4 linked regions of the Arabidopsis thaliana genome follow. The protein of the gene in region 1 interacts with the protein of each later gene in a pairwise test. Each region holds a gene or a part of one and is shown in the gene's direction. Other genes may lie near its edges. The genes, in order: NAC094, IAA20, ERF9 and IAA34.

Region 1 (7,803 bases):
TTCAACGGTTGCAACGGATGGATCACCAAGTGCTAAGGCTGTAGTAATACATCACGGAGCATACTCAATTATCAAATTCTATCACTAATGGATCAATGAAAACCATCTTATTATAAGCTTACTATAAGTGTTAATGAAGAGGTTAGACTAGTTCAAGGAGCTTCAGAACTCTACCACTAGTATTGCAAAATCCTTTAAACTAACTTTGAATCATCACCAGCTAGGAACTAAAGGCTCTGATTGTCACAATTAAGCTTCTTAAACAAGATATATTCCTCATCAGATTTGTGTAAACAAAGCGTTAGAAGAAAAGCAAATAGCTGAACAAGGTGCAGACCTGATAAGTACCTTGAAGGATTAAAGCACAAATTCATGAATAAACTTGTCAACAAGATTCTCCTTGTCGTCGAAGGGACACTTTTCACAGCTAACTCATGTAAATTCGACTTCCAATCTTGAGTAACCCTATCGAATAATCAAACAGTCAAAAAGTAACATAAACATCAAAATTCTCCAAGAAATCAACAAATCTTAATGTCTGATTCAAAATGAGAAGTTTCTCCAAAAGATTGTTCCAAAAGTTAAAAGCTTTACGGTGATTTTTCACTAACGTTGATTCACACATAACACCATTCTTAGTAACCTAAAGCCCATCAGGAAAAGACATAATCTTTGAGCAACCCAAATCAAAGGAACAAATTTTCAGCAAAATTTGGGGCAATGGAAGAAGCTAAAATGCTTACTTGACAGAAGAAACGGGTGGGTGTGAAACGACGTCGCCTTGAGAAATTTTGGAACAGACTGAAGAAAGAAGTTGTCGTCGACCAACAAATTCATTCTCATTAGGTTTCGAACAGAAAGATGCTATTACCTGCATCTTTCCAAAAAAAATCGAGAAAACTCTGAGACCAGTCGATTTGGCAAAAACCTGGATAAAATTAAGAATCTTAGATAATTTTTTGTGTAGCTTAGGAAGAAGAAGATACTTGAAATACCGAAATGCCCTCTCTAGTAATTTAGAAAATAAATGATTTATTTATTTTATATGTGTTATTTTGTTGTGAAAAAACCCAAAAAAGCAGATATTTATTTTTTTATTAAGAAATATTGCATTTTATACGCGAAATTTTAAAAAGTAATTATTTTAAATATGTGAACTTCGTATATGGCCATTTAATATATAAAAATACGTTGATCGGGCACCATTTCATACAAAATTATTTGTTGATCATGCCAAAATACACACGACGTTATCTACCGCTAACAGATCCGATAACATCCGTTAACTAGTCTCTTTTAGTTTCCAATACAACGTCGTTTCACCATAATCGAAATGAGAAAAATGTCATTTAATACTCCAACTTTCAAATTGTGACAGTTTTATACATCAACTTCACATGTGATTATTTTATACATAAATTAAACATTGACCAGCAGTTTGAAATATGAAAATGCGTTGAGCAGACCAGAAAAACATATCGCTATCTAGGCCTAGATATTCGGATTTTAGTTTGGATTCATAGGGAACAGCACTTCTATCGGGAAATGGGTGTCACGCCGCGATCCAAAAGTGTTAATCGAGAAGAACAGCAAATATGCATTGGGCTAAAGACGTCATTCAGTTTAGGTCCTAAGAGTGAATCAAACGATGTGAGGCCTGAGTGGAAGATGAAGGAATTATGCTTTTAAAAGTTTGAAACAAAAAGAAAACTGTAGGTTTGCTTCTTGATTTTCCAAATTCCTCTTCATTGTTGGACTCTTGTCTTACCATGTATACTTTGTTTTTTTGTTTAGGTGGACCACAATGTGATTGTCTTGTGCAAGGTCTCTTTCAAAAGTGTTATCAAGGTTTATGAAACATCTCCACTTCTTTATTTCAGGTTCACAATTTACTTTTTTTATCTCACTAAATTAAAATGTCTCCTTCAATTCTCTTTTCTAGGTTGAGCAGACCACTTTGGAGGAGCTATTAATCGAACCTTGCGAGCGAGTGTTGTACCAGCCGAGAGGCAAGTGTACCTCCATCATCCTCTTCCTTTGAGGACGACGAGCATGTCCGATACATGCTCCCTAGGGTTTAGTCTCGGAGATAGATGGTTTGATGTATCGGTTTTAAAGCACAAACCGTTCAAAGCATTAAAGCAAAAACTTGGATTTTCACAGCATTAATAGATATTCCAAGAGGATGGTTGTTGACAACTTTAATGTTTTACATATAAAGAGAAATAGAAAGCTTAGGTTAAAGGCTATTGACCAAACTTCCCAACTTGTGTTGCGTGGGTTAAAAAACCTAGGCCATTTTTTGGACTTCTCTCATCTTGAATTGTTTTTTGGTTCATCTTGTTTTTTTTTTTTTTTTTTACCACGAGATCTTCATTTCTATTCTACGTATACATTATGTTTTTACATGTCTCAAACTTGGAGACATATATAGCAACCTTAAGCAATGCCTTCGATTTTACCAATGCCTATATTGACTTACCATGGATTTTACTTTTCTTATATGTTACAATAATATATATAAAAGTATGAAACTATAAATAAATGTGGAAGAAGGAAGGAATAAATTAATTTTAGGGAATCGCGAATTTGAGATTTCATAATTTACGTAAAAGAACATTACTTTATTTACGGCTATAACTAAAACTACAACGACCCTTTGCTTAAGCACCACAACTTTCAAATATCAATCTTAATTTATAAGACTTTTACTTATAGACTTATAGATATAGAGATTGGATCCCATATAGATTCTACTCTAGAAAAACGTTTGACATTAGTCGGTCAAAGTCGTATCATCATTAAGTCATTAACCATATAGTTAGATTTTTTTTGGTAGAATGCATCTATAAGATATCGAAACAAAGGAAGAAAAACGTTTCCATATCATATTTTCCTAAAGATAAACCACATACGTAATGTAAGTATAACTTTTCCTATATTGTTCGACTCGTCCGTAGCCTCGATTTCACGAAGTACGCAATAACCTTGAAGTTTGAATCTTCTCATAAGAAAAATAATAATTTTAACGGCAAAATTCAAGATTCATAATATCTTTCTTGTATAAATCTCCTCTTATTCAAGAGACATTGGTCTTATACCTACGCATCACTTTCTGGTCCAATTATCGTTTCCCTATGAACCCATTTCTTCTTCTCTAAGAAACTTCTTCCTTCTTCCCCAAACTTACTCTCTCTATCTCTATAAATCTCTCTGTTTCTCTTCATCAAATTTTGGTATCCCAAAAGTACTAATTCTGTGTGTGTTAATGGTTCTAGTTATGGATGATGAAGAGAGTAACAACGTTGAAAGATATGACGACGTCGTATTGCCAGGGTTTAGGTTCCATCCCACTGATGAAGAACTCGTAAGTTTCTACTTGAAACGGAAGGTTTTACACAAATCTCTTCCCTTTGATCTCATCAAGAAAGTCGACATTTACAAATACGATCCATGGGACCTCCCAAGTAAGCCACAAAACTCTAACTTTTAATTCTCCAAATATATGGAAACAAAATATTTGATTATGCATTTTCTTAAATCAATGTTTAAAAAGAGCTTGCAGCGATGGGGGAAAAAGAGTGGTACTTTTATTGTCCTAGAGACAGGAAATACCGCAACAGCACAAGACCTAACCGAGTAACTGGAGGTGGCTTCTGGAAAGCAACCGGAACAGACCGGCCTATATACTCATTGGACTCCACTCGATGCATCGGTTTGAAGAAATCACTTGTGTTCTACCGTGGTCGAGCTGCTAAAGGAGTCAAAACCGATTGGATGATGCATGAATTTCGTCTCCCTTCTCTCTCTGACTCTCATCACTCATCATATCCCAATTACAATAACAAGAAGCAACACCTTAACAATAACAACAACAGCAAGGAGCTTCCTTCAAACGTAAGTTATCGGATTTGCCCTAACTTGCTTTACCCGCAACAAAGGTTAGGTTACCAAACAAATTAGAATCGATCTTTTTCATTTTGTAGGATGCTTGGGCGATATGTAGAATATTTAAGAAGACAAATGCAGTATCCTCACAAAGATCAATCCCACAATCTTGGGTTTATCCAACGATTCCTGACAACAATCAACAGTCACACAACAACACCGCAACTCTCTTAGCTTCATCAGACGTTCTCAGCCACATATCAACAAGACAAAACTTTATTCCTTCTCCAGTCAACGAACCCGCAAGCTTCACAGAATCAGCTGCTTCTTACTTCGCGTCTCAGATGCTCGGAGTCACGTACAATACAGCCAGAAACAACGGAACAGGGGATGCTCTGTTTCTGAGAAACAATGGAACAGGGGATGCTCTGGTTCTGAGCAACAATGAGAATAACTACTTCAACAACTTGACTGGAGGGTTGACTCATGAGGTTCCGAATGTAAGATCAATGGTGATGGAGGAGACTACGGGGAGTGAGATGTCGGCGACGTCGTATTCCACTAACAATTAAGATCATAGTACTATTAACACTTGAATTAGTGTAGACGTTGATCATCGCTAATATGTATTAATTTTTCTTGTCTTACTATAAACGTTGCTTCTCTTTTGGTTTCTTGAAGGCCGAAAAGAAAAAGAAAAAAACAAAGACTTGCTTCGAACATGCAACTTCTCCTTAATTTGGTATAGATAATTGTAATGGCTTTTTATATTAATCATTAAGTCTCATTCTTGAATGACACTAGTTTTTTTGGATTTTTCAGAGCCATATTTCATATTCTTTATGAAGAGGATACAATGCTTTCTTTTTTTTTTTTGAAAATAAGTAAAGAAAATATGAATTTGCAAAATCTTTTATTTATGTCAATAATGGCAAAGTAATGGATTAAAAAGGTACACGGAGTTATAAATTATATTTCTCATTTTTTAATGGAGGGTTCTAAATTTTATTTAAAATGGATGTATTTTGGTCGATTTTTGTTAGATTGTATTGTCACAAATTTTTAGCAAATCCAATAATTATATTATTAATTAAGAGCTATTTACATAATGATACAAAGGGTATCTGAAATATATATGGACAAGCAAATCTTTCTTTTTTATAGATCTTATTAATTAAAAGAGAGTGAGAGTAGAAAAAAAAAACTATTTCCTTTTTATCAGTCCTTAACGGCTAAATTACACAAATCTATGCAAAAGATATGGAAATCAAATCTTCACAAGCTTTGTTTTACCGATTAGAAGAGTGAAAAAAAAATAAAAAATCTAACTTTAAGGACCAAATTTTCTATAAGTATATCGCTATTTCACAAAGTTGTCTCTGACTTTCATATTCTTCATCATCTTCTTAGGGTTTCCTAAACCTAATTCGTAGTTTCACTCTCTCAATTTCATTCGTCTTCGTGCTTTCTCTTCACTTTGAACGTGAAACAAAAAATAGAGAGATTGTCTTCGAAATCAACAAGAAGATGGCCATTCGATCTTTACCTTCTTCCTCAGGCTGTTCCAATTCCTCTTCGTCTTCTTCTTATTCACTCGCTTCAACAAGTTTGAGCAATAGACTTGAGACCATCTTCAGGAAAGCTTCAGAGCTTTGCACTCTCTGTGATATCGAAGCATGCGTCATCTATTACGGACCAGACGGAGAACTCAAGACATGGCCTCCGGAGCGAGAGAAAGTGGAAGACATTGCTCTCAGGTATAGTCAACTAAACGAAGCCTTGAGACGCAAGAAGAGCGTTACTCTTTATGACTTCCTGAACAAGAAGAAGAACAAGACGAACTTGGAGAAGAAAGCAAAGATAAAGGACAACGACTTGAAAAGACTTGTCTGAAGAACGTGAATGTTTTAAAGTATCCAATTGCTGATCATTACTCTCCTGACCAAATTTCTCAACTGATTCAGTCCTTAGAACCTCATGTCTCTAAAGTCCGAGAAAGGATTCGTTTTGTTGAGTCGCAGAAACATAAGGAGACAAAACCGGATCATCAGAGTTTAGCATCATCCTCTCTGAATAATCAGACCCAATCTTTGAACCCTAGCCAGTTTTCGCTGTTTATGTATAACCATGGAGATAATATTCTGTCTCAGATCCCAGTCTCTGCATCAAATTTCAATCAGGATTATTTCTCAGCGTTACTTGAACAATCTGAGTTGAAGAGTCAGATAATGAAGCAGGAGGTTTGTGGTTATGAGCAGAACATGTGCATGAGTAACAATGGAGATGCTACGCTCTCTCAAATCCCACTCTCTGCATCAAATTTCAATCAAGAGTTCTCAGCCTTACTACAAGAAGAATCTGGCTTGATGCAACAGGAGCTTTGTAATTATGATCAGAACATGTTTATGAACAACAACAACTTCCAACATTCTTTTGTCTCAAACACACAAGATCACTCTGCTCCTGCGGTACAAGAATCTGTGAACAACAACTATGGGTTGATGCCGCATGTTCCTTGTGGTTATGATCAGAACCTGTTTACGAGTGATATTACCAACAACAACCTTCTTATCGACAACTCGATGTTTCTCTGATAACAAAGCTCATTCAAGAGAGTGTGAGACTGTTTTTTCATCTTCTCGTAAGAATTTTAATATGTTGTTGATGTTTATTTTGCTAAGTATTGCATAACGCATAATGTTTTCTTGTATCAAGCTATTTTACTATGTGAACATCCAATTTATCAAGTGAATATATATTCCACTGCATAAACATGTTACCAATTACTTTGCATATCGTTTCGTGAAAATATCAAACCAAATCTCCCATTTTAAGAATAGCACATAAGGATTACGGACAATAGAAGAACATAATCATAACTTAAAGCTTTATGAAGAAGACTTAAAAACATATATATCTTCTGACTGACTATTTTTCACTTGGAAGCTTCAGTTGACTCGTTTGTGTTGACTTGTATCGGGCATTGAGATACATATGGTTTCAGCTGTAAAATCCAAATAGATATACATCAGCAGAGCAGCTAAATCACACAACAAAGGTTAATGTAATTAAGTAAGCATTCCCATTTCAGGTCCCTAACTCAAAAACCTTACAACAAGAACAAACCAAGATAATTATCAGGATGAACCTAAGGAGATTCTACCAACAAGACTTGTAAGAAGATTTCTCACTAATGTTTGGTTCTCAAGTTTCAATTAAGATGCAAGGTACATACTAGAAGTATCAAAGATAAAAGGAACATAAGAGTTTAGAGGGTGAAATGAAAAACCTTAAAGCCGGTGAGATCAGGGACTACGTAATTCGGCAACTTATCTGGCTGCACAACATATCCTCCTGCAAAAACACCATGTCATAAAACTTAGGTAAAGATAAAATGAAGTCTCGAAAACAAATGCAAAATACATATACAATATGATGATCAGTTTTTTTTGCCAAAATGAAGTCTAGAAACAAATACAAAAACAGTATACTACACATGTACAATTCGAGTTAAGCTACCACATTTATTTGAGTGGAAAGCTAACTTCTTTAACTCAATTTTGGCAATTATGAATCTAGTAACACATGCAACCGATGATCAGTTCTTTGCCAAAATAGAGTTAAAGTTGTTAGCTTTCCTCCTAAACAACAATCTGGTATCTAAAGCTTTGCCTTAGATTTCATATATCTAATAAAAACACTCAATTATCAAAAACATTATGATGATCATCAATTGAGTTAAAGTTGTTAGCTTTCCCACCAAAAGAATCTGATATCGTAAGGCATGAAAACTAAACTGATAAAAGCTCTGCCTTAGGTTACATATATCTAATTCAAAACCAAGAACAACAAGATTCAATCACCAACTAACTAAACAAGTGTTAGATAGAAATGGATTGCAGCATGACAAGTGAA
Region 2 (7,695 bases), on another chromosome or scaffold:
CTTCAGTTTATGAAGGTTACAGGCAATCTCTTTTCTGTATCTGACGCTTGGCCTGTTGTCCCTTGAGAGGTTTTCTTAGTACCGAAGCTAAATATTGGTGTTTCCGTCTCATCTAATGTGGGACTAATATTCCTAGGTTGCAAAGGAGATGCTTCTGGAGAACAACATGGGGAAGGACTTGAGATTGGTGCTTTATATCCAAAGGTTGGACTCTGGAATTCGTTTTCTGGCTCAACAGACTTTTCCCTGAAAATATTACTCGGCCGTTCATGTTTATCGCCATTTTTAGATAATCCCTGGGACATCTCTGGCAGAGCTGCTGCCTCAGCTTCTGGCGATGGATGAAAATCTCCTTCCCTTGTGCTAATATCTGGTTTCTGTTTCCGGGCTTTGCTCTGTGGATGAAGGTCATGGGAACTTCCCTTTTTGTCTGAAGATGAAGATCTTTTGCCAGTTTCTGTGCTTTCAGAACGTGGTGGAGTATTGCTCTTGCTCGCCTCCTTCCGACTCCAATCAGCTTCATCCTTTTTTCGAGAATGAGCCTTACGGCATTTTACAACAGTGTTTTTTCTTCTACCCCTTTGTTTCTTTGGCATAACACTGGAATTCACAGCAGTGCCAATTTTTCCGCGCAAACCTTCCTCAAAAGAAAATACACTATTTACTTGTTCTGTGCACTTGCGACCTAAGTTGGCACCAGCTTTGGTTTTCTTCTGGACACCTTTGGCTCCTACCCTCCTCTGCAACAAAGATCTGGTTACTGGCCTTCTGGTAGCATTTTCAGGGCTTTCAGAATCAGTTTCGATAGAATCTGAATTGTGTCTAGGCTTAATAAGAGGATCATCATTTGAACCCTTGTCTTGACTCAACTTGAAGTTGGTCTTCTCAACTTCTGGGGTCTCAGAGTTCACATCTTCATTATTTGCTGGTGAAGCTTTTCCCAATATCTCCCACAGTTTTGATCTCAAAACATCAGTAGTTCCATTTGTCTCCTTCCCTGGCTTATCCATCTTCTCTCTCTGTGAGGCAACCTTTTGCTGCAAGACTGCAGATGGAGGTTCTTCCATCCTCTCTGGACTCCTATCCATCACTCTATCGTTCCTGCCACCATTCAGCTCACCAAGACTGTGCTGAGGACTCGAAATGGGACAGTTTTGAAATGATTCACGAGCTGGTGTCTGATGTGCTCCATTAAGTCCCTTGTTTAATCCTTTGCTACCAGACAAACTAGATGTTTGCTTACAAAGAACACTCTCAAGAGTCCCTAATTTCCGATGAGACGATCTCGGAGACCTCCAAGGTGAGGTCACATGTCCTGTGACCTGAGCTGAATTCCTTTGCTTGGCAGCTAAATCACTTTTCTCTTTCTTGTTCGCCTGTAATTCAGTTACGGTGGCTGATTTCAACTTTTCTACTCTAGCAATAACATCTCCATCATCCTTATCTGGCACAAGATTCCTTTTCGGTTGTGAATCAGCCATAACTCCTATAGAAATCTTTCTAGATTGACTTGATGGATGGTAGTTACTGCCGAAGCTTCTATAGTCGCTCATCTTTTCCTGAAATGTATCACCACAAGGTTAACAATTCTGCTGGGAAAAAGAATGTAAATATCAACGAACACCTAATCACTCATATAATTTCTGAATAGCAACACAAACAGAGAAGTAAAGCAGTACAACGCAGGCTATATTCAGCGATAATGGATGATAAATTAATCATTAGGAATGGTAAATTTCTAACACTCGGATAAAAAATTTGGTAATAGAAAATCCCAAAATAAGAAGGTGCTAGATCTGGATAATATGACGAAAACAAGAGAAGCAGCAGATAATAGATGCTTGAAACGATGAACAACTAGCGAGATGTGATATCTCTAGCAACGAATTTCATACCAAAACTCTCCGATTATGCAAAGACAACACTATAACGCTGGTACTAAACTCAAAATCGAGACGATAACACCAATTTAACGAAAGGGGGCATAGATCGCGACGACTTATCACTGAATATGAGAGTAACGAGCCATGAATCGAAAACGAAAACAGAGAAAATCGAGCGATGGTATCATTGGCTAAGAAATTACCTAATCAAAGCTCGCGGGTACAAGTGCGAAAGCCCTGACTCTCTGATTCCGGTGAAGAATTAAGTGATCAAAGAGAGAAAGAAGATCGCCGGAATATTAACTGGAATAAGATCTGAGAAAACTGATAGAGAGAGAGAGAAGCAGAAATTCGAAATTTCTAGGAGAGAAGCGGGGGAAAATGAAAATTTAGATTTCTCAAAATGGTGTGTAACAAACACTGTCTGTAGCTGAATTGCGTATACACGACGCCGAACATTTGGACGATTTTAACCCTGAGATTTCTTCGTATTTACATTGCATCGTAACCGTCAGATTGAGGTGAGTACATGTGTCGTAATCTACTTATCATTCTCAAAATTTTGGCGCCTTAATTCGCCTCTCAAAAAATTTCAATCGCTTCAAAGTTCAAACGGAGACGGTCTTTGCATATGTCAAGTTTCCGTTAAACTTTGACGGGTCAGGCTAGAGCCATCCAAGTCCAACTATCCCGGTGACTAGCGTTTATATATATGCTACATAACCAGGCCCGGCCCAAGTGGGTAGTGCCTGGGCCTAAGGCCGGACTGTACATAACTGATCATTAATTTGAGTTCTATTTAACAAACATTCTATTGTTATTCCATGTTTTATTTATGATCCATACTCGTAAAATAATTCACTTATTTATTATATAGTTTATATATATATATATATATATATCAACATCGTATTTAATAGTTCACAAACATACATAATTTGTAGAGGATAAATTTACAAAAAAAATGATAGGGAAAAAAAAACACTCGATTAAGTGTCATAATGTGAGGAACGAGATTACGTCATACAGAATCCACAGGGACAAAATGTCACACTACCAGTGTATTTGCTTTGTAAGAAATTTAAAATCAATTCAAGATTTGGTAAATCTATATACAATTCATGAATTGCGTGCGTAATCTTAACATTTTTAAGGATTTAGAAGAACCAATAATATATAGTATCTATAAAAAGACACGCACGTAACATCTCGACTCAATACCTACACGCACGCATGCAAGTATCTTTTACTTTATGGAGGCTATTGTTTATCTATCTATATAAACGTATTAAGCTTCTGCATCCTAACCATGGAAGACCTCCACTTGATTGCCCTCGGGGGCTACTCTTCCATTCAAATTATATTACATATTTTAACACTTTTTGCTTCCATTAAATTACTTTCTTTAATATTAGCAGTTTACCTTAGAGATGAAAGTAACCAAACTTTATGTAAGGAATACAAATACAACTTTAGATAATATAAAAAAAAATTATTAAAGGATAAAAAAATATTAAAAAAATATCATGCATGCAAATTCTAAATCAAAATTGATTGCAAGAAAAAAAAAATACATATATAGGCACTCCATTCATTTAATCACCAATTACTTTTTGAATAGAAATTCTATGAGTTTTAAATTTTATATACGATATCAACGAAGAAATAATTCGACTTCTTCCAATATCATAAAAGTAACATAAGCAAGTTCAAAATTTAATGCTTCATTAAACCAAAATAAAATAAAAAATGCTTCATGAATATATATATATATATATATATATATTTGAAATTATTTGGTAGGGGAAGTAATGTTTTAAAACTTGTATATTATAACAATGAATACACATGTAATAATGTAAACATACATCCAATCAACAAATGAAAGAAACAATCCGATAATTTCAGTAATGTTAAAGCAAAGGGAGGAAACAAAAGGCTATGATTAGTCCAACAAGAGGGGCTACAGAAAAAGAAAGCCACGAGACATGCAAATGCAATCACGCATCTTAAAAGCAAGCCCAAGTTTTGACTGACAAGCAACCACGACGCAGTAAAGTGGAGTTCTCAAAATTAGCGCATATATAAAGTACTTGAACTATGTGTGTATCTTTCCAATAAAATGCAATTCTATAATGACTGCCAAAATCAGTACTTCATATTATTTTTGAGGAAATATCGTATATGTGTATCTTTTTCTAACAAAAGTTTTTTTATTCAATATAGAAAAAAATGAGTATATTTACAATTTACATATCATAAGATTAAAGTTGCAAAGAAATAAAGAGAAGATGCAAATGAAAATAATGGAAGAAAAGAGGGGACAGAGAGGAGGCGGAGGCAGTAAGAAAATAAGAAAGTGAGGAAATTGTAATTTGTAGTGTTGTTAGGGAACATCTCTCCTTTATCCTTTTTCTCTTGATTTTTTTTTTGTTTCTTCAATATTTCTCTAAAACTCAATTGGTTCCAACTAATTAGTACATTTTTTCCAAACTGAAATATCGAAACCTGAATTAAGCGAGGGAACCAAGCCGGTTTCAACTCTAGTGCGTATATGTCTCTAATTGCTTACATGGTTCAATCCAAACCAAGCTACACTATGCTTGCACGTTGTGTTATTTTGTGAAGGATGAAATTATAATAACGAAGTTTGATGAATTGAAATGAAATTAGTTTCGTCACGAAGCACACATCCATTAAAATTTGATTCTTATATTATATTTTCAATGAAATTATATAATTTTACCATAAGGCACGCATCCATTGTACAATGTACATGTTGTGGTTGAGGGAGTCCACGTGGAAACAAAAATGCCACGTGGGTAATGACAAGAAATATAGTCGTTGGTCGTTGTGTCGTGAGTGTGTGTGTTTCCTTTTTCTCGTGCTTGCAAATATGAGAAATGTGACGTCTCCTTAAGTTCCATAGACAAAGGAACTCTCATTAGGTCCTCTCTTTAAGGTGAACCATTCATTACTCATGCCCCCTCTCTTCCTTCGCTTTTTTTTTTCTTTTCAATTTTCAAATTTTCTCTATTTATTTAGTTATTATTACGTCTAACAACTTCTCTTTCGCAAATATATTACGTATGATTTACATCATTATATAGGCACTTTTTACCGGTTTGGAATAGTCCGTTTTAGACCGATTATGGCAGCGCTGATACAACTTGTTTAGTAGTTGACTAATTTTTTTTTATGTCTAAGCTTCGAATAAACGTAATTGTAAAGAAACAAAAATGAGATTTATCTTCTTTTTACATGAAATAAAATCGGTCTAAGACTTACTTATTGGGGGTTTTGATTATTCAAATCATCTGGTGGAACTAAATCGCATTGTTTTATGGTTAATAATGACTTGGACTTGAATCATCGTAGGCTCAAACATTTGTCATGCTTGCATACATATGATGGGTCCACAACTCCACATCGTAACTTTCGTCATAACTTTTGTTAAACAGAAGTAAAGAACTATACCTAATTAACTTAAGAAAGAAGTGTTAATCCGATTACTAAGCAAGCATTTACCCAAACACTTTCCGAAAATAATTTGTTTGATTAAAGTGTTAATTGTATCGAGGTCATATGAAAACACATTAATTTTGGAAATGTGGGAAGTAATGTAGTTCCACAAACGCCTCAATGCGCGTCACGATAACCTTTCATGCATTGAACACGATTAAGAAGATGTAATTTCTCAATATTAACTTTAATACTACTTCATATCATCAAAACAGCTAAATGTATATATTTATTTTTTGGGGTTAGATATCAAACATTAACTAGCGAGAAACCGAACCCACAAAATCATAACCAACACTTTGATCGAATCATCGTTTGACACGTGTTTTGGTCTGCTACACTAACAACATTTTTAGCGGACGCTGTCTCATCATTCCACCGTCGCTTTTTATTTGTGTGAACTTTGAACAAAAATACGAATTAAGACCATATCAAATTTAAAATAAAATAAAAACAAGTCCTAGTTTTATCTTCTATATAAACACACACGTACAAACCAAGCATGGCGGCTCATTACTCATTTGTCTTAACCTAAAATTATTATAAAAAGGATAGAGAGAGAGAGAGAGAGCTAGAGATATGGGAAGAGGGAGAAGTTCATCGTCTTCTTCAATAGAGAGTAGCAGCAAGAGCAACCCATTCGGTGCTTCGTCAAGTACTCGAAACCTAAGCACGGACCTGAGACTCGGACTCAGCTTCGGGACATCCTCAGGGACTCAATATTTCAACGGTGGCTATGGGTACTCCGTTGCAGCTCCGGCGGTAGAGGATGCGGAATATGTGGCGGCTGTGGAGGAGGAAGAAGAGAATGAGTGTAACAGTGTAGGGAGCTTTTACGTGAAAGTGAACATGGAAGGAGTTCCAATTGGAAGAAAGATCGATCTAATGTCTCTTAATGGCTACCGCGACTTGATCAGAACCCTTGATTTCATGTTCAACGCATCCATTCTCTGTAAGTTTCTATGTATACATAATGTCATATCAGAATGATTTATATGTCTTAGAGGTAGCAAATTTCTAACGATATTTTTTTCTTTCTTATAAGTCCGTTTTGATTTTTTTTTTTTTTTTACGGAATGAAAAAATACTTCCGCTCATTACTATTCTTTTGTTTGAAGGTTAATATCGCCGTAATAATCGCCCATCACTATTTCATAGGTTGTTTGTTTGTTTGTCAAAAAAAAAATCTGGATAACGTTATATGTCAGAGTTATTATTCCGTAGGTAGAGTTTATATATTGCGCAGTGTGTAAGTACTGTGTAATGGGTAAATTGTAAAAATGATGAAAACTGATGGGAATTGAAAAAATGGAAATATATAGGGGCTGAAGAAGAAGACATGTGCAATGAGAAGAGTCACGTGCTAACGTACGCAGATAAGGAAGGTGACTGGATGATGGTTGGAGATGTTCCTTGGGAGTAAGCACTCTTTTCATCCTTTTTTGTATAATTAGATTGTTAATTATGCAGAAAATTAACTATATGATCATCCTTATATATATTTTTAATTTGTGGGTTGATTTTTTGCAGGATGTTCTTGTCTACTGTGAGAAGACTGAAGATTTCAAGAGCTAATTACCACTACTGATATATAAGTCTACGTACTTGTTGTGTTTAAATCGAAGTAATGCCAAGAAAAAAGTTTTTGCCTGATGTAAATCAATGGTCGGATATTTATAATATTATTTTCATTTTTCTTTTGTGATAGATAGTACATAAATCTTGAACTCACTCTGATTATTCTCGGTAGTACACAAAAAAATAGTAAAAAAAGGAAAAAACAATTATCCGATCGACAATCATGTTTCAGTGCATTAAACCAGTCAGACCATTGGTCATTGGATATTTGAATTTATATAATTAGTTGAATGCTTTTATAAATAAAATTATAGGATGTACTTTCTTTTGTTTGTCAAATAGGATGTAGTCCAGTTTCAGAAAATACTAGTAGTCAAGAAAACCAAGCGACAAATTAATGTCGAGAGACAACTTCTAAATTTTCGAAGAATTTTTGGATTTGATTATCGATTTGACCACAATGTACATTTGATATATACAAGGAAGGAGGCAGGGGAAACAACAAATTCCCACCTGATATTTCCTACTTTGTGTTTTGGAAATAAATGGGCCTTCTCCTTTGATTAAGCCCAAGTTCGATCCCATCTATAAATAATGCAACTTAAAACTCACAAAAGTATTCGGCTTACGCAAAATATAGGGTTTCTGTTTATTCCAATCATAGCTTCCGGATCAAGCAAAACAGAGACCGAGACGGAGCAAATCGCTTCTA
Region 3 (7,776 bases), 1.9 Mb from region 1:
AGTTTCCACCACCACGCCTTCCATTTCCATCTGTGATTAACATATGCAAAAAGCATTTAGGAATCTAGTGTTTTGCAGGCTCTATTTACGGATTCTCACATAATTTGACTTGAATAAGATACTTAACACTAGGACCATATCTTGTTTCACATTTTCACTATCTATTCGAAAGGGAACTGGGAAAACAATAAGCAGATGCTTTGCAAGATAAAGAGTCTTATTCTGAGCACTACAATTCTAAGTAAAGCAACTTAAGACTCGCATTCATGGTACTTTTAGTTCACCATTTGTCCACAGTATAGTGCGAAATCATGAAACCAGGAATAAGATCAAGTAAATTTGGTAGAAAGTTGAAAAAAACATACAATTCGTTGGCGCAGCTTGAGGATAAGCTCCCAATGAGCCAGTACCGTAATCCACGAGCTGCCTTTGTGCTTCGAGTTCCTTCTGAACTAATTTCCCATAACCACCTCTAGGTAATCAATGAGTTAAGGAAAAAACACATGGATTGGCGGGAAATTCATAACCGAGAAATCAATCTTTCCTACCACAAAACAGGTATACTAAACAAGAACAACAGAGTGCATAACTATGCGGACTAAAAGGATATCAGGATCGTAATCTGTACGGTATTCATCACGAACCTGTATGAAATTAGAAAACCATGATGACCTTTTAATTGTAAAGAAACGGTCAGGGAATTACAGAGAGGATGATGCATCTGATGAATACCTGGCCACCGCTTCTACCACGGCCCCATTGTCTTCCTTCTTGGAATCCCCAATCAAAATCCACACGAATAGGCCGGTCATCGAGAATAGTCCCACTTATATACTTGACTGCATCTTCAGTATCCTCTCTAGAGTAGAACCTGATAAAAACAAGACACAAAACCAAAACTCAGCAACCACCATAATGAAACTTACATATAAAACTGTTGAAGATGAAAGCTTACAGGACGAAACAAAAGCCACAAGGTGTTTTAGTGTTCTTATCCAAACCCATGATGATCTTTTTGATTTCTCCAGCTCTAGAGAAAAGCTCGTAAAGCTGTTCTTCAGTAGTGTAAAAAGACACATTGCCAATGTAAACCGTTGTAGATGCTCTTAGCGCTTCATCAAACTCCTCTTGTGTTCCTGAAAATCTTCTATCACGATAAGCTGATAGCTTTGCTTGCTCCTGACAATCAAAAACCCCAAACATGAAATCGTGAGACCAAACCCTAGACAACAACTTCAAAAATCAATTAGAATCGCTTCAGACCCATCAGATTCCAGACAACCCGGATACTAAATTCACTAAAAACATTAACGAATCTCGATTTTCTATGCTAGAAAAAGCAAAACCCAGAAATGGTTTCCGATAAAAATCTAAACTTTATGTACCTTGAACAAAGAAGCCATCGCTTCACGGTGAGAAGAAGTGAATCTGCGATGATGAGAGAGGAGGATAGCTTAAATTAGGTCTATGCGGGGTGAAAGAAGAAGAAGATGAGCGAGAAATCGAGAAGGAGAGACACTTACACTCGTCTTCTTCAAAAAGGGAACCCTAATTTCTAAAGCAGAAGCAGAACTGATAGAAGAAGGCAAGGACACTCCGGCGACTCTCGAGTATCCGGTTTCATGGCCCACCTTACGAAACCTTACAAAGTTACAATTAATTCACAAATATTATTGTTGGTATTAATTTAATATTAAAACAAATAAAAAACCCAAATTTTTTGCATCTAAAATGTTCAATCAAATAACAATTCCGGTTTGGTTTCGGTTCAATTATTTCGGTTTCGCTTTATTTGTTTAAACCATAAAACCAATTTGTAATTCAATTTAGTTAGGTCTCGACATAATAATCGAACCCTACGAACCAACCCAAACCCGACCGAAAACCCTGATCCAAATCCAAAAATTTCAAATATTCAACGGGTCCTAAACTTCAAAACCCGAAAAACTCTAACCCAAACCCGATCTGAACAAATATCCAAACATACCTCAAATATTTGATATATTATTTATATTCATACTTAAATACAGAAAATATTTGGATATTTGGATATTTTAGTTATTTTGTGTATTTTAGGTTACTTTGGATATATTAAAGTAAAACTATTCGTGTTGTTTTGAGAGTTTTTGAAATTTTCAAGTAATTTGATAAATTTACATACAAAATTTTGATATTTTAATATTTAAATAAACCTGAACTCGAACGGTTTAAAATTTTAAAATACCCGAACGGGTCTTAAACTTCTAAATCTGAAATACACAAACTCGAAATATTCGATCCGAATACTGAACGCCCTTTAGTTTTAATTTGGTTTAAATGATATTCCGGTTTGGTTTGTTGTGGTTGTTGGTTTTAATTTCACAGTTCAGCATTAGCAAACCTTAAATTTTATATTTTTAAACATCCTTTATTTCTAATTTCTAGATTTTTGCCTATGAAGATATCTTCAAAGTAATGTTTTAAGAAAATACCTCTTTAAGGACAAGAAAATCATATAAGGAACTTTGCTGAGGAGACATAGAAATAGTTATTTCTCGTTGTTGTAAGCGGTGGTTTAGGTGACTCATTTTCGAAGTTAAAGCTCTCGTTAAATCTGTGTTGAAGCTTCATAATCTACTATGGTGTTCCCTCCAGATCACTTTTTATTACTCCAATACTCATTTTTGAGAGATTCACTGAAGATACTCTAACATACATACGTGTATCTGTAACGTAACGGGATTCAAATACCATTTTTTCTCTTTTTTTGTGTTATGTTGTAGGATCAAAAAAATTGTGACTTTTGTGTGGATTAACATTTGACAATAACGTTAGACGTATCCATTATTCATGTGTTAAAGTAAAATACTTATTCAATAAAAGTTAATATAATTCTAAATTTGTTTTATTTATCGAGTTAAATGAGTTAACTATAACATATATTACATATATGAAATCCTCTACAGCTGTTACACAACAATGTTCATCAATATCCAATGCTGCTATTCTTCTGAAATCTGGACATCAATCGCAAAGAATGTGTACAAAGATAGATTTTCCACAAAATGGTCTGCTGTGGTGAATTACATATCTGATTCTCAGCCTGATCGCATCCAAAGTTTCTTATCCAGGTACACATTCCAAGTCTCTATTCATTCCATTTGGAGGGAGAGAAATTCTCGTCGTCACGGAGAGAAGTCACGTTCAGCTTCAAACCTCATCCGACAGATAGACAAGACTATTAGAAACCAGCTATCGACAATCAAAAAGAAAGGGGATCTTCGACTCGAGAAGGGGCTGCAAGTATGGTTTGACATGCGTCCATAGCATCCTCTAAGAAAGAAGACTCTGTTTTTGCTCTCTCAATTCTATTTACTCTGTTTTTGATCTAGCTCTATTTCTCTTATTATCAAAATATCAAAAAAGCTGATGTAAAAAGTATATTTTTTCTTTTAAATATAATTTGACATTTTATTCAAAAAAAAAAAAAAACAATGTTCATCAATAAAGTTGATTGTTGTTGATTTCTTAAAACAGGAAATCAACGAAATCTCCCAAAGTAAATAAAATTGTGTATCAACCTGTATGCCATGTATCTAAATAACAAATCAAAATCTTTTAGCAATAGATTCAAAAAAAAAGAAAAAACTTTTTGCAATATGATATGTCATATAATGATAATTAAGTTGATACAAATTGGATTCTTAAAATAAACTGGATTCTTAAGCTGCTAACCATTTATTAAAAAAAGATATTGACACATTTACCTACTCACATATTATCAAACCATATATCTAAATCACCTACTACATATTTCATTCGAAACATTGTACATAAATATATCTCTATACAAAATTTAAATGACAACATTGTCAACATAGAAGTATAGAACCGTGGCTATTAGCTATTCATATTGGGCCGACAAAAAAAAAAAAAAAAGGCTATTCATATTGGTGGGTACTAAAATAAGGCTTGGAAATTCATATTAATGTAAAACTCATTTAATCGTTAGAGAGCGTGGTAGTCATGTAGATTAATGAAGGAGCGTGAGATCAAGCAATCAAATTACGCAAAGTCACGCCGCAGTAACGGGACGTTAAGGCAAAAAGCCGTCACAAAAACATTAAAACCTCTCACATTGTCTGTTTTTTGGGCGGCGCTTTTCAGTCAAACCCTCGTTGACCGTCTCTTTCTCTTTCTCTAAACCAAAAACCTTTTCCTTTATAAATTAAACCAAAAACAACGTCACTTCTCTATCTAAACGAGAATATATCTCTTCTTTTATAAGCAATGGCTCCAAGACAGGCGAACGGTAGAAGCATTGCCGTGAGTGAAGGCGGCGGAGGGAAGACGATGACGATGACGACGATGCGGAAGGAAGTGCACTTTAGAGGTGTGAGGAAGCGTCCATGGGGTAGATACGCGGCGGAGATCCGTGACCCGGGAAAGAAAACCCGGGTTTGGCTCGGGACATTCGACACGGCGGAGGAAGCTGCAAGAGCTTACGACACCGCCGCTAGAGAGTTTCGTGGCTCCAAAGCAAAGACTAATTTCCCTCTTCCCGGAGAGTCTACTACGGTTAACGACGGTGGCGAGAACGATTCTTACGTCAACCGTACGACGGTGACGACGGCGCGTGAGATGACGCGTCAGAGATTTCCGTTTGCATGTCACCGGGAGCGTAAAGTCGTCGGTGGTTATGCTTCTGCTGGTTTTTTCTTCGATCCGTCAAGAGCTGCTTCGTTAAGAGCAGAGCTTTCTCGGGTTTGTCCGGTTCGGTTTGATCCGGTTAATATCGAGTTGAGTATTGGTATTCGAGAAACCGTAAAAGTTGAACCGAGAAGAGAACTAAACCTGGATCTTAACCTAGCTCCACCGGTGGTGGACGTTTAGATTTTTTTCTTCTTTTCATAATTTGTATTTTACATTGCCGGAAAATAATTAATGTTTTCTTTAGTAGATGAGAAAAAGAAAAATCTCCTATGTTTTTGGCTAAGTAAGAGGAATTTTTTTTCAGAAATCTCCTATGGTTCCCTAATTACGTGGATGTAATTAATTACTAATCAAATATCTCCTTTTGATATTTTTTTTCTACTTTTGATGTTTTTTCTTAAATGTCTTAAAATGACATGATGGTTGGTTGATGTATCAAATAGGTAGTAGATATCACTCCATTAAATGGATGTGGAATATGAAACCAAGAAACATCGAACATTTAGATGGTCTGTCAACATCAAACAATTTAGTATAGGAGAGTACCCAAAAATAAAAATAAAAAAATCGGATGATCATGACACAAAAAAGTAGTTATCGTTTTCATTAGTTTTCTCATTATATTGAATTATGGTTTCATGGTTTGGTTTATAAATTAGACATGTAAAATTCTTTTTTCATCTATGAATTGTGTAGGAAGAAAATTAAATTCAAAAGTAAAAAAACTGTAGTGAGTTATGAGTTTTTTTTTAAAATGTATTTGAAAAGTAGAGTGGTAGCATCATGAGTCCAATCTTCGAGTTTCGTGTAGATGGGGATGATGGCATGAGTGTCAGGTGGGAGGCACGTGTGCTTTAGCCGTCCATAATCTGTTTTGTTCCTATGCTTTCAATTTTTTTAAACCACAAACATATTTTGGCTAGGGTGGCTTTCTTACGTCTAATTATTATGTTTTGGTTTTATTTTTGTCATCTAAAATTTTATTAATAAAAAGATGAAATATATATACCGCTGATAAAAATTAAATAAAGAGATAAAATTATATTATATGTTAGTAATAACTCTTTTGAGATGTAATTAATTTTGTTGAAAAAAAATCATAAGTACTAAAAAGGATCGCATCTAAACACTATTGAACAAAAGTTAGAGAGATTTTCATAAAGGTTCCCCTATAGAATATCTAAATGTCGGAACCACCAATAAATCCGAATAGACCAGGCACCAAAGATAAGCAAATAACAAACCAATATGGATGAAAATAAAAATCCAACACGACCATAGGACTCAAATAGAACTACTAACACACTTCACCAACAAACCACAGAAAGCAAGAAACACTAGAATTAAGACAAAAACTTTAAATTGACTGCAGATAAATCACGTAAGATCAATAATTCTTATATGCAGATATTAGTCGAAGTAGCGTAGCCATCTATAAACTTAGAGCTGATTAGCGTTCTATCTAATTATCTATAAATTGTTTAATTACATTAGTTTTTATTGGAATGAGTATATTATAAAACCAAAAACCATCACAGCTATCAGATTTATAACCCTCTAACCCGTTAATTAACAAAGCCTAAAAGTCAATCCCATCTTTATATCAGAAACTTTAATACACATTTTTATTATAACAATCAATTATATAAGGAAAGATCCAAACAAATTCTATATCATGCATTGGATAAGTCGCCGAAGTGGGTGTGGGACTCAAATTAAGGTCCGGTAAGCAGATATATGTGTGGCTCCTACAATTAGTCGGCAGATTCTGCGGAGCGTTCATTCTAACTATTTTCTCACGCACTTCATTATCGCGTGTCACTCACCGACAAAACATAGACCACGTGATCTCACCGCCTCGCGCTTAAGTTCATACAATTTTGGCCATTGCCTGAAACAGCAGCTCCAACCATGTCTCACCGCGTGTTGGTCTGCTCACGAGCCTTGCGTGCGTCGTTGTCTTAATGCTTTGATTTTAGTATTTTATTAAGTAACTATCAAGTCAAGGCATTAAGTCATTTTCGTAATTCACTGACGGTTACAAACTTACGACATTTAACAACAATCTTGAGCATTCACACTTGACCTTTTTTTGACACTTTTCAACCATTGACTTTTCGTAGTTTCGACAATGCATGCATGGACATACAAAAGCCTTGAATGCGAAGAAGGATCATCTGTACTTACTTTTACATTCAAACAAAAATTAACAAATGATCTGATATCGAACCACTTTTTGTTTTATAAGAAAATATATTTGTTTTTTCTCTCATAGTTTTTCTCCTGTCAACAAGACCGTTCATCCTTACCAAATAATGGCAGATTGGTATAAGATCTGTTTTTTTTTTTTTTTTTTTTTTTTTAATCGTGTAGTTGTGTTGATAATAAACATGAAAAGATGATACTGTATATTTCAATTTTTACCGATTTTAGGTATAATCTAGGCAGGACCGGCTCAAAAATAATTTGAACCTTGTGCCTAATTATTCAGGATTTTCTATTTAACTTTTGAAGTGGATTTTTTTTTCAAACAAGAGATATTCATGAGTCTATCTATATTAGATTATTAGTAACTAGATTACCAAATAAATTACAGTGTCGTTAGTTGCTATTGGTACACCCTTTATGTTATTAGTTTATTTAAGTCTATAATAGTTCCTTTTGTGTTGCCGATGGAGGTGCATGAAACTGTTTGTGCATCATGTGCATTCTCCTAAATTTCCCATTTGTTAGAGAGATTTGGAAAGATACTTTTAGAACACTATGAGCTAAAAATAAGGAGATCACATTGTTCGTCGAGAGATGAATCATGAATGTTAAAGAGGACAGGTTCCTACCGCCGAGTCTGTTAGATTTGTGTAGGAAATCGTAGCACATGGTCTTGCATGGGTTATATAGCTTTTGCTTAAATCTGTTGAGGATTTGATGAAGTTAGAAATTATGGACAAACTATAATGAGACTTTAAATCTTAACACATGGTTTAATTTTAGATTGAAGTACTGAACTATATGGTAACATAAACGTTAATTAGGGTTGTTTGAAAAGTAAGGATATCAAAAACGGCTTTAAGATGAGGTGGATCG
Region 4 (8,065 bases), on another chromosome or scaffold:
TGTTAAGCTCCCCACGAAACCTTCTCTTTGCACCGCCGACGAGCTTCATTACGTCTCCGTTCCTAACACCGATTGGCGTCTCGCTCTCTGGCGCTACTTGCCTCCTCCTCAGGTTTTCGAATTTCAACAATCACCTTTCTCTGTATCTGCAATTTGGATTATATATTTTTTTTTGTGATCAAGAATTTTCTCTCTTCTCTTAGGCTCCGACGAGGAATCATCCATTGTTACTGTTGTCTGGAGTAGGAACTAATGCCATCGGATATGATTTATCTCCTGGTGTATGTTACCTTCATCGTTTTTAATGTCAATCTTTATCATCAAGATCTACATTGTACTAGTGTATCTTTAGATGAGGAAGTAGATTTATTGTTGATCAATGTCAAGTAAATCTTCGTTGATGTCATTGCAGTGCTCTTTTGCAAGGCATATGTCTGGACAGGGATTTGAGACTTGGATTCTCGAGGTTCGTGGAGCTGGATTGAGTACACGAGTATCTGATCTTAAGGACGTTGAGGAATCTGCTCATGAATTGTCGAATCAGATAGAATCTACTGCTAGAGCTGCTGCAGGTAAAGAAACTTGTTCTGATGAAAAGCAGACTACTGATATTATGGACAGTAGTGCACCTGCACCAGCGTCGGATGTTTCAGTTGTTGGCGAAGCATCGGCTTGGGACGAGTCACAGCTTGTGGCGAGATTGACATCAACTTTCATGAGTTTGTCAGAAAGACTTTCTGGCTTTCTCAGTGAAGGTCAGTCTGTGTTCATGTCTGCTAAGTTGTTTGACAAAATTGCAATGCTTGTAGATGATACACAGCTGTACGAGCGCTTTAATGATATAAGATCGAAGCTTTTGAGTTTGATAGAGTCAAAGCAAAACTCAGGACTTGTTAACCAAGTCAGAGATTTGGCTCAGCGCCTTGTGAATCTTTTCGACGATGGTCAAAGGTCTGTCTCGCCTCCGCTGATTGATTTACAAGAGCGCCTCACTGCGACCATAGAAGATTTTCAGAAGCAACTGGATTTGATAGTTAAATATGACTGGGATTTTGATCACTACCTGGAAGAGGATGTCCCTGCTGCGGTGAGGCAATGTTGATCTTGCTGAATACTTCGCATAATCGTGTCTGAATTTTGTTTGAATTGGGTGTCCGTCTTTGGTTTGCTATAGATTGAGTATGTAAGAGCACAAAGCAAGCCCAAGGACGGCAAACTATTCGCAATTGGGCACTCCATGGGGGGTATCCTACTCTATGCAATGCTATCACGTTGTGGTAAGTTAGTATTCATCTTTCAAACAGAGGCTCATATATTAAGGCCGAAATTCATTTCTTCTCTATTATTTTGTTAGCTTTTGAAGGACGAGAACCTTCCGTGGCAGCTGTGGCAACTCTGGCATCATCGGTTGATTACACAACCTCAAATTCTGCACTCAAATTGCTCATACCTCTTGTACGTGTCGTTATGTTATATCACTCTGCGCAGGAATCTTTGACAAGAATTGATGTGCCATAAATATCTTTGGTAGCTAATTTACTAGATACTTCTTTTACAGGCCAATCCTGCAGAAGCTCTGAGTGTTCCAGTTGTTCCTCTGGGTGCTTTGTTGGCTGCCGCTTTTCCTCTTTCGACACGTCCTCCATATGTATTATCTTGGCTTAATGATTTGATATCATCAACAGATATGATGCACCCTGAAATGTTAGAAAAGCTTGTCTTGAATAACTTCTGTAAGTAAAAACAGTTGATCCCATTTAAGTATGTGAGTTCTTAATGTATTTTAAGTGGAAAAGAAACGTATCTTCATTAAGAAAAAGAAAATGCTGGAACAGTTACTATTAGATGCTTGAATGTACCATGACTTTTTTTGCAATCCGTAATTGCTCCCTTTATGGTGATTTTCAAGAGTTTCTTTGTTTTCTTACATCTAGGTACCATACCTGCAAAACTACTTATTCAGCTGACAACGGCCTTTCGAGAGGGAGGCTTACGTGATCGTAGTGGTAAATTTTACTATAAGGATCATCTTCCCAGAACCAGTGTCCCTGTCTTAGCTCTTGCAGGTGATCGGGACTTGATCTGCCCCCCTGCGGCTGTGGAAGGTATACTAACATAATGTTTATTATGAAATTCTGCATAGATGACTCTAGCATATACATGAAACCATTCATTTACCCAGATATGCATTTCATTTTAAATTCTACATTGCTGTTACTGAATTCTTTCGAGTTATGAGAGGCTGTATAAGGCGTAGATGGATTAACTTTTGTGATACTTTCCACACACACCAAATAAATTTTTAAGCTACTCACACATGCATTTTCACCATTATGACTAATTACAAATGCTTGTGAATATGGCAGACACTGTTAAGCTGTTTCCGGAGAACTTGGTCACTTATAAGTTACTTGGAGAACCAGATGGACCACATTATGCACACTATGATTTGGTTGGAGGACGACTGGTATGTTTGTTCCCCAGTCATTTCTAGGTCTCCTCCTATGTTGGAACTTTGTTCAATGCTGTATCATGTGCATGCTTGTTTCGTTTGTTAATCGTTTCTCTGACAACTTACTGCAGGCAGTGGAGCAAGTCTATCCTTGCATAACTGAATTTCTTAGCCACCATGATTCCGCATAAGTGAAACATTTCGGGAGTTTCTGTTCCTTGCATGCTATAGCACATGTAGATTGTAGACGTCGCACTAAGGTGGTGTCGAAGAAGTGTGTTTCAGAAGCGCCTGTTAAAAAGGATGCCATTTCCGTTTAAGACACGTACATTTAGTATCTGGGCAAACTGTACATGAGCTTAGGATGCAGTTTTTTCAAGTCATACACCTGTAAATTAGGAAAAGCATCGAATGAGATGCTGGAAGCTCTTGTCTACTGTGATGATTTCCCTTGTTTTGTTATGGCAACGAGCTTTTTATTTGAACATTTATCTTTAGAAGAACTGGTGTGTTCTCTTGTACTGCTTTGCTTCTTTTGGAGGACTTGAGTTATCCATGAGAGCAATTGTATAGACATGGATTTATGTGTACATTTTCTGTCTTAGATCCATTAATGACACAGCCCTACTTCTCAGATAATGTGTGGGATACATGATGTAATGATAGATCTGAATTGTCTAGTATTAAACAACAGAGCTCTCTTTCATGAAAGATATTGTCTCTCCACCATCATGTAAGACCATACCTAGTTCTTCTCTTTCTTTGTCCATAAATTAATTCGTTGGATTCTCTATGGTACAGAATTCTCTAGCACGACTTACCTATTTCTTTTGTAACGTGTTTGATGTTGAGTGATTACAGGTTTTGACTTGAGACAATGAGTTGTCAACACTCTCTGATAACATTGAGACACTTCACTAGATAGAGATGTGCTTGCTGTGATTAGTATAGTACAATTCTGACTTCACGATAATTTCAGGTTTTTGTGTTGGCTGACCAGATGTATTGCAGCGATCCTCCCCATCCCTTGCACTTAGTGGCATCAGACAAACAACAAAAAGACCACAAACTGATCCTTTCCTGGAAGGTAATGTGTTCTTGTCTTTTGTTTGTTCCCTGTCTGCAATGATGTCTCTTAACTCTCCTGACACTCTTAGCCTTAGCTGCTTGATATAAATCAACATCATTCTCACCTTTCTATGTATCTGTTATGTGCTGAATATGTATTTGTTATAGAAACCAACAATGGACTCAGACCCACTCGGTGTTTTCCCAAATTCTCCCAAGTATCATCCATATTACTCGCAGACCACGGAGTTTGGTGGCGTAATCGATTTAGGTCTCAGCCTGAGAACCATACAACATGAGATTTACCACTCATCTGGCCAAAGTGAGTTTCTTTGCCGTTTCCATTAGTATTTCCATTACCTTTAATTTCTTGGTAAATTTTTTCAACTCTGAGACGGTGTTTACTTATGAGTTATGACATGTGGCAAAGGATATTGTAGTAATGAAGGATACAGACGGAAGTGGGGTTATGTAAAGGTCACCATGGATGGTTTGGTGGTAGGTCGCAAGGTCTGTGTTCTTGATCATGGAAGCTATTCAACTCTTGCTCATCAACTCGAGGACATGTTTGGTAAGTTTTTCATGGGAAGCTTGGGATTCAAAGATGAGTAAGTACTATAAGTAGTAATGTTCCTAGTAGGCTTATACCGGATGTTCATTACAATCTGTAGGGATGCAGAGTGTGTCGGGATTGAGGTTGTTCCAGATGGAGTCTGAGTTCTGTTTGGTCTACAGAGACGAAGAAGGTCTGTGGAGAAATGCTGGGGATGTTCCATGGAAGTAAGCTCTTGATACTTTCTTTGTAGATTACTGAAATAAAGCGTTTACATGTGTTGTGATTTGTAAATGACAGTGAGTTCATAGAAAGCGTGGAGCGGCTGAGAATCACAAGAAGAAACGATGCTGTACTTCCCTTTTAATATTAGCTTCTCTCTTTCTTCACTCTTTGTTATAATTTCCAAGTCAGCCTTGAATCGGAAATGAAACAAAAGAGAAAAGGTAAATGTAACTTTGAATACGATTATATTCGAAATAAAGAAAGAACCACGAACTACTTTTTTCGGTGAAATCCTGATCACTAGAGCTCCGATATGTTACGTCTGGATTCTCGTCTTACCATGATACGAAGATATTGTGAACCATCCAGTTTTAAGATATAGTGGTGTAATTACGATGGTGAATTTGCCATTTTATCTTTCATACTTTTCAATTCATAATCCGCATAAACGAAAAATGAGTAGGATATCGAAGGCCTTGTGAAGACAAGAGAGCTCAACTCCGGCGACAACCTCGATCTTTTTTCTTACATTTTCATTCATACGGAGTTGTTGAAAGTCTACGACGTTATCTTTTACACGTAAGAGTGACTGAACCGGTGGCTGATTAGGATGACGTGATTTCCATAATTAATTCAACACCCTCCAAATACAGAAAGACATGCATTTATATAGTATAAAATAAAGACATATACAGTATATGCTCTGCATGCTTAATATTGTTACAAGTCAATGAGTCATCCATTCATATCTAATCCTCCTAAGAACCTAATCTGATCCATATCCATTTATTACTAAGAAAACGTTTTTTTGTTTAACATAACCAAATCAAAAGAAGGAATAATTTGGAATATCCAGAGAAGTCCATCTCAGCATCCAATAGGCAATAGGAAAGGTTTGACCAAAAACGTATACAGATAATAAAAAGTGTGCGTCAGCTTTGAGTGGACGCTGCGCCTCGACGCCTCCATTCCAATCTATAAATAAAGAACGAGAACTAAGACATAACCATCCAATTAAGAAAGAGAGGATTAAGACATAAACAAGACAAAACAAGAAGAAGAGATTTATTTATTACATAAAAATGGTTGTCGCCAATGATCTCTCGTCCAAGATTCTCCCCAGAGTTCTCATCGTCTCTCGTCGGACTCTCCGCAAGAACAAGTACGTGGACTTCGTAGGAGAATACCATCTCGATCTCATCGTCTCCTCCGGTGCCGTCCCTGTCATTGTCCCACGTGTCAATGGGATCCATTCTATGCTCCAGAGCTTCGAGCCTATTCATGGTGTCCTCCTCTGCGAAGGAGAAGATGTCGATCCTTCTCTCTACGCGGACGATGAATTATCAGACCTCTCGCCAGAAGACATGGAGGAGATTAAGAAGGCGCATGCAGAGGACATGACCATCGACCGAGAGAAAGACAGCATTGAGCTGACTCTAGCTAGACTCTGTCTCGAAAGAAACATTCCTTTCTTAGGCATTTGTCGTGGCTCTCAGATTCTCAACGTTGCCGCAGGTGGAACTCTTTACCAAGACATCGACAAAGAACTCGGAACTACGATGACAACGACAAATCATATAGATTATGACAACTACGATGGGCACAGACACGAGGCTAGAATCGTGGAGGAGACTCCGTTACATAAGTTGTTCGAGGAGATGGAGATAATGGTGAACTCGTATCACCATCAAGGTGTGAAGAGACTGGCTCAACGTTTTGTGCCGATGGCTTATGCTCCTGATGGTTTGATTGAAGGATTTTATGATCCGAATCGATATGATCCAAAGGAAGGTCAGTTCTTGATGGGTCTGCAGTTTCATCCAGAGAGGATGAGGCTTCCAGGCTCTGATGAGTTTGATTATCCAGGCTGCGCTTTAGTTTATCAGGAGTTTGTGAAAGCTGTGATCGCATTTCAGAAGAAACAAGTAAACGCAACACAGGTTGAGATGAAGAGGAAGACCACCACACTCGTCAAAAGCTTCTCCCAAGCTGAGTTTCTAGAGGTCAGAGATTCGTTTGTTTTACATACATACAGGCTCTATGTTTTGCCACTCAATATTGGATTTTCTGACATGGCTGAATGAATCATGCAGGCTAATACAGTTCTAAGCAAGCAACAAGAGAATAGGCTGAAGCAGATGGGAGCGACGGTGAGGAACTCATGTGTGTATATGAAAAGGATGAAAATGAAAGAGGAACAAGAGAGAGCAATGGACAAACTTTCGGCGGAGCGGCTGTCTGATATGCTTTCCTTCCACCATATGATGGCTCGTCTTTGCTCCAATGCCATCAAGAGAAAACTACTAGAACCCGAACACACAGATAGGACCATAGAGTCCTCCTTTTTTCTCAACTATTAGCCTTTATTGCAAAAACAGTTTTACACACAATAAGAAAACTAGCATTCTGTGAATTTACAGAAGCTACCAAATGAAAAACTTTTGACAGTATCCTATATGTAAGGTTTCCTCAAGACAGTAATCATAAAGAGTTCCTTTTTATAACTTCCTATATCATTTTTCGTCATCATAGTATAATCTATCATTACCGGCGGCAGAAGAAGATGAAATCAGGATGGTTGACTTGACGCAACCTCAGCCAATTATCTGCGGCTTGGAAGAGAGAGTTCGCGAGCTGGTGGCCCGAGCCACCAAAGCTTGTCCATACAGAACCTCTCAACTTGTATGAGGCGAGACCAAAGACAGGCAGTTCCATCTTCTCAACACTTTCCCTTGGCTGCACCACATGCATAGACCCTGTTGTAACGCCTGGACCTGCAAGAGCCAAAGATAGATAGTGCATGTATCTTTACTCAAAAAGTTGTTACTCTCGGATCATTTGAAACATACAAATTCTGATGATGTGGTCATGGTTAGAACGAAGAACTTGTGTTTCTTACTATCAACAATGCTCAACACCAATCTTACCTTGAAAGGGTGTGTGAAGGGAATGATAGGTCAAGAAACAAGCATCCAGATCCTTGAGTGTCGGTCCTGTGGGTATTTTGTAAATTGGGTACCTGCAAAAGTAGAGTAATGGATTCTAAGAGAGACAATGCGGTAATGTGGAACAAAGTACATACGCATGTCACAAAGAACTCATACCATGCCACAGAAAACCAGCTTGAAGGAAGCAAATCACAGCTTCTTAGCGTCTTCAGCTCGGGAAATCTAGAGGCAAGGTCAGACATCTGCAAAGGTAACAATTGAATAAGACAGCTATAGGAATTGCATTTTTTTAGATCATAAGTGGTGTATTCAAATTCAAGAATAAACAAGTCGCTGGACAGTAATTGAACTTTATACAGTTAGTTGATAGTCCTTAATGGATGCTTTGGAACGAACAGAAGAGTTGTTGCATTTGACTAATAGCATTACTTTCATAAATAAATCTTGGATGTTACTTCAACTGTTTGTTTTGAAAGTCACAACTTATCTAATAACAGTAAAATTAGTACAAAAGAAGCTCAAAACATGAATAAATACATCTTTCAATACCTAACTTCCGTGTAGCCTCATGCAAAATTTATTTCAAAATATGAGACATTTAACATCATAATTGAATCTTTTTGGTTTCTAATAACTCCTGCATATGCCTTGATGACTTGATAGAATGATAGAGTTAAAATAGTTAAACCTTGTCGGCAAAGGGTTCACGGACGTAAGGAAGATCACGTTCAAGATACTCAAATATCAAACGACCTTGAGAGCTTAAAGGCTCGCCATCATCACTAGACGAATCTTCTTGATGCTCCTTTCTTAAGGAGA

The links.
Region 2: the proteins of NAC094 (region 1) and IAA20 interact in binary tests that used the Arabidopsis thaliana proteins (3 or more experiments, as listed by UniProt).
Region 3: the proteins of NAC094 (region 1) and ERF9 interact in binary tests that used the Arabidopsis thaliana proteins (3 or more experiments, as listed by UniProt).
Region 4: the proteins of NAC094 (region 1) and IAA34 interact in binary tests that used the Arabidopsis thaliana proteins (3 or more experiments, as listed by UniProt).

The regions. Positions count from the first base shown.
Region 1 is NC_003076.8:15,935,957-15,943,759, reverse strand, and holds NAC094 (NAC domain containing protein 94), read left to right. Parts: upstream 1-3,169; 5' UTR 3,170-3,268; coding exon 3,269-3,467; intron 3,468-3,556; coding exon 3,557-3,897; intron 3,898-3,986; coding exon 3,987-4,460; 3' UTR 4,461-4,650; downstream 4,651-7,803. Other genes in the region: DEG8 (Trypsin family protein with PDZ domain-containing protein), read right to left, coding at 1-38, 338-465, 744-877; AGL98 (AGAMOUS-like 98), read left to right, coding at 5,416-5,775, 5,853-6,482; AT5G39800 (Mitochondrial ribosomal protein L27), read right to left, coding at 6,824-6,892, 7,178-7,242.
Region 2 is NC_003071.7:19,301,877-19,309,571, forward strand, and holds IAA20 (indole-3-acetic acid inducible 20), read left to right. Parts: upstream 1-5,837; 5' UTR 5,838-5,984; coding exon 5,985-6,357; intron 6,358-6,727; coding exon 6,728-6,824; coding exon of another isoform or gene 6,825-6,828; exon of another isoform or gene 6,829-6,935; coding exon 6,936-6,993; 3' UTR 6,994-7,195; downstream 7,196-7,695. Other genes in the region: ASY3 (asynaptic protein), read right to left, coding at 21-1,553; AT2G46995 (uncharacterized protein), read right to left, coding at 7,592-7,695.
Region 3 is NC_003076.8:17,802,473-17,810,248, forward strand, and holds ERF9 (erf domain protein 9), read left to right. Parts: upstream 1-3,924; 5' UTR 3,925-4,269; coding exon 4,270-4,872; 3' UTR 4,873-5,069; downstream 5,070-7,776. Other genes in the region: CBP20 (CAP-binding protein 20), read right to left, coding at 1-30, 366-476, 611-644, 733-871, 956-1,179, 1,386-1,403.
Region 4 is NC_003070.9:5,178,631-5,186,695, reverse strand, and holds IAA34 (indole-3-acetic acid inducible 34), read left to right. Parts: upstream 1-3,282; 5' UTR 3,283-3,452; coding exon 3,453-3,539; intron 3,540-3,666; exon of another isoform or gene 3,667-3,688; coding exon 3,689-3,842; intron 3,843-3,950; coding exon 3,951-4,091; intron 4,092-4,191; coding exon 4,192-4,300; intron 4,301-4,373; coding exon 4,374-4,440; 3' UTR 4,441-4,705; downstream 4,706-8,065. Other genes in the region: AT1G15060 (alpha/beta hydrolase family protein), read left to right, coding at 1-112, 204-281, 413-1,087, 1,175-1,277, 1,355-1,455, 1,559-1,733, 1,935-2,105, 2,367-2,467 and 1 more; GAT1_2.1 (Class I glutamine amidotransferase-like superfamily protein), read left to right, coding at 5,381-6,301, 6,392-6,658; AT1G15030 (hypothetical protein (DUF789)), read right to left, coding at 6,843-7,072, 7,226-7,317, 7,403-7,488, 7,935-8,065. UniProt on the Arabidopsis thaliana protein: Aux/IAA proteins are short-lived transcriptional factors that function as repressors of early auxin response genes at low auxin concentrations.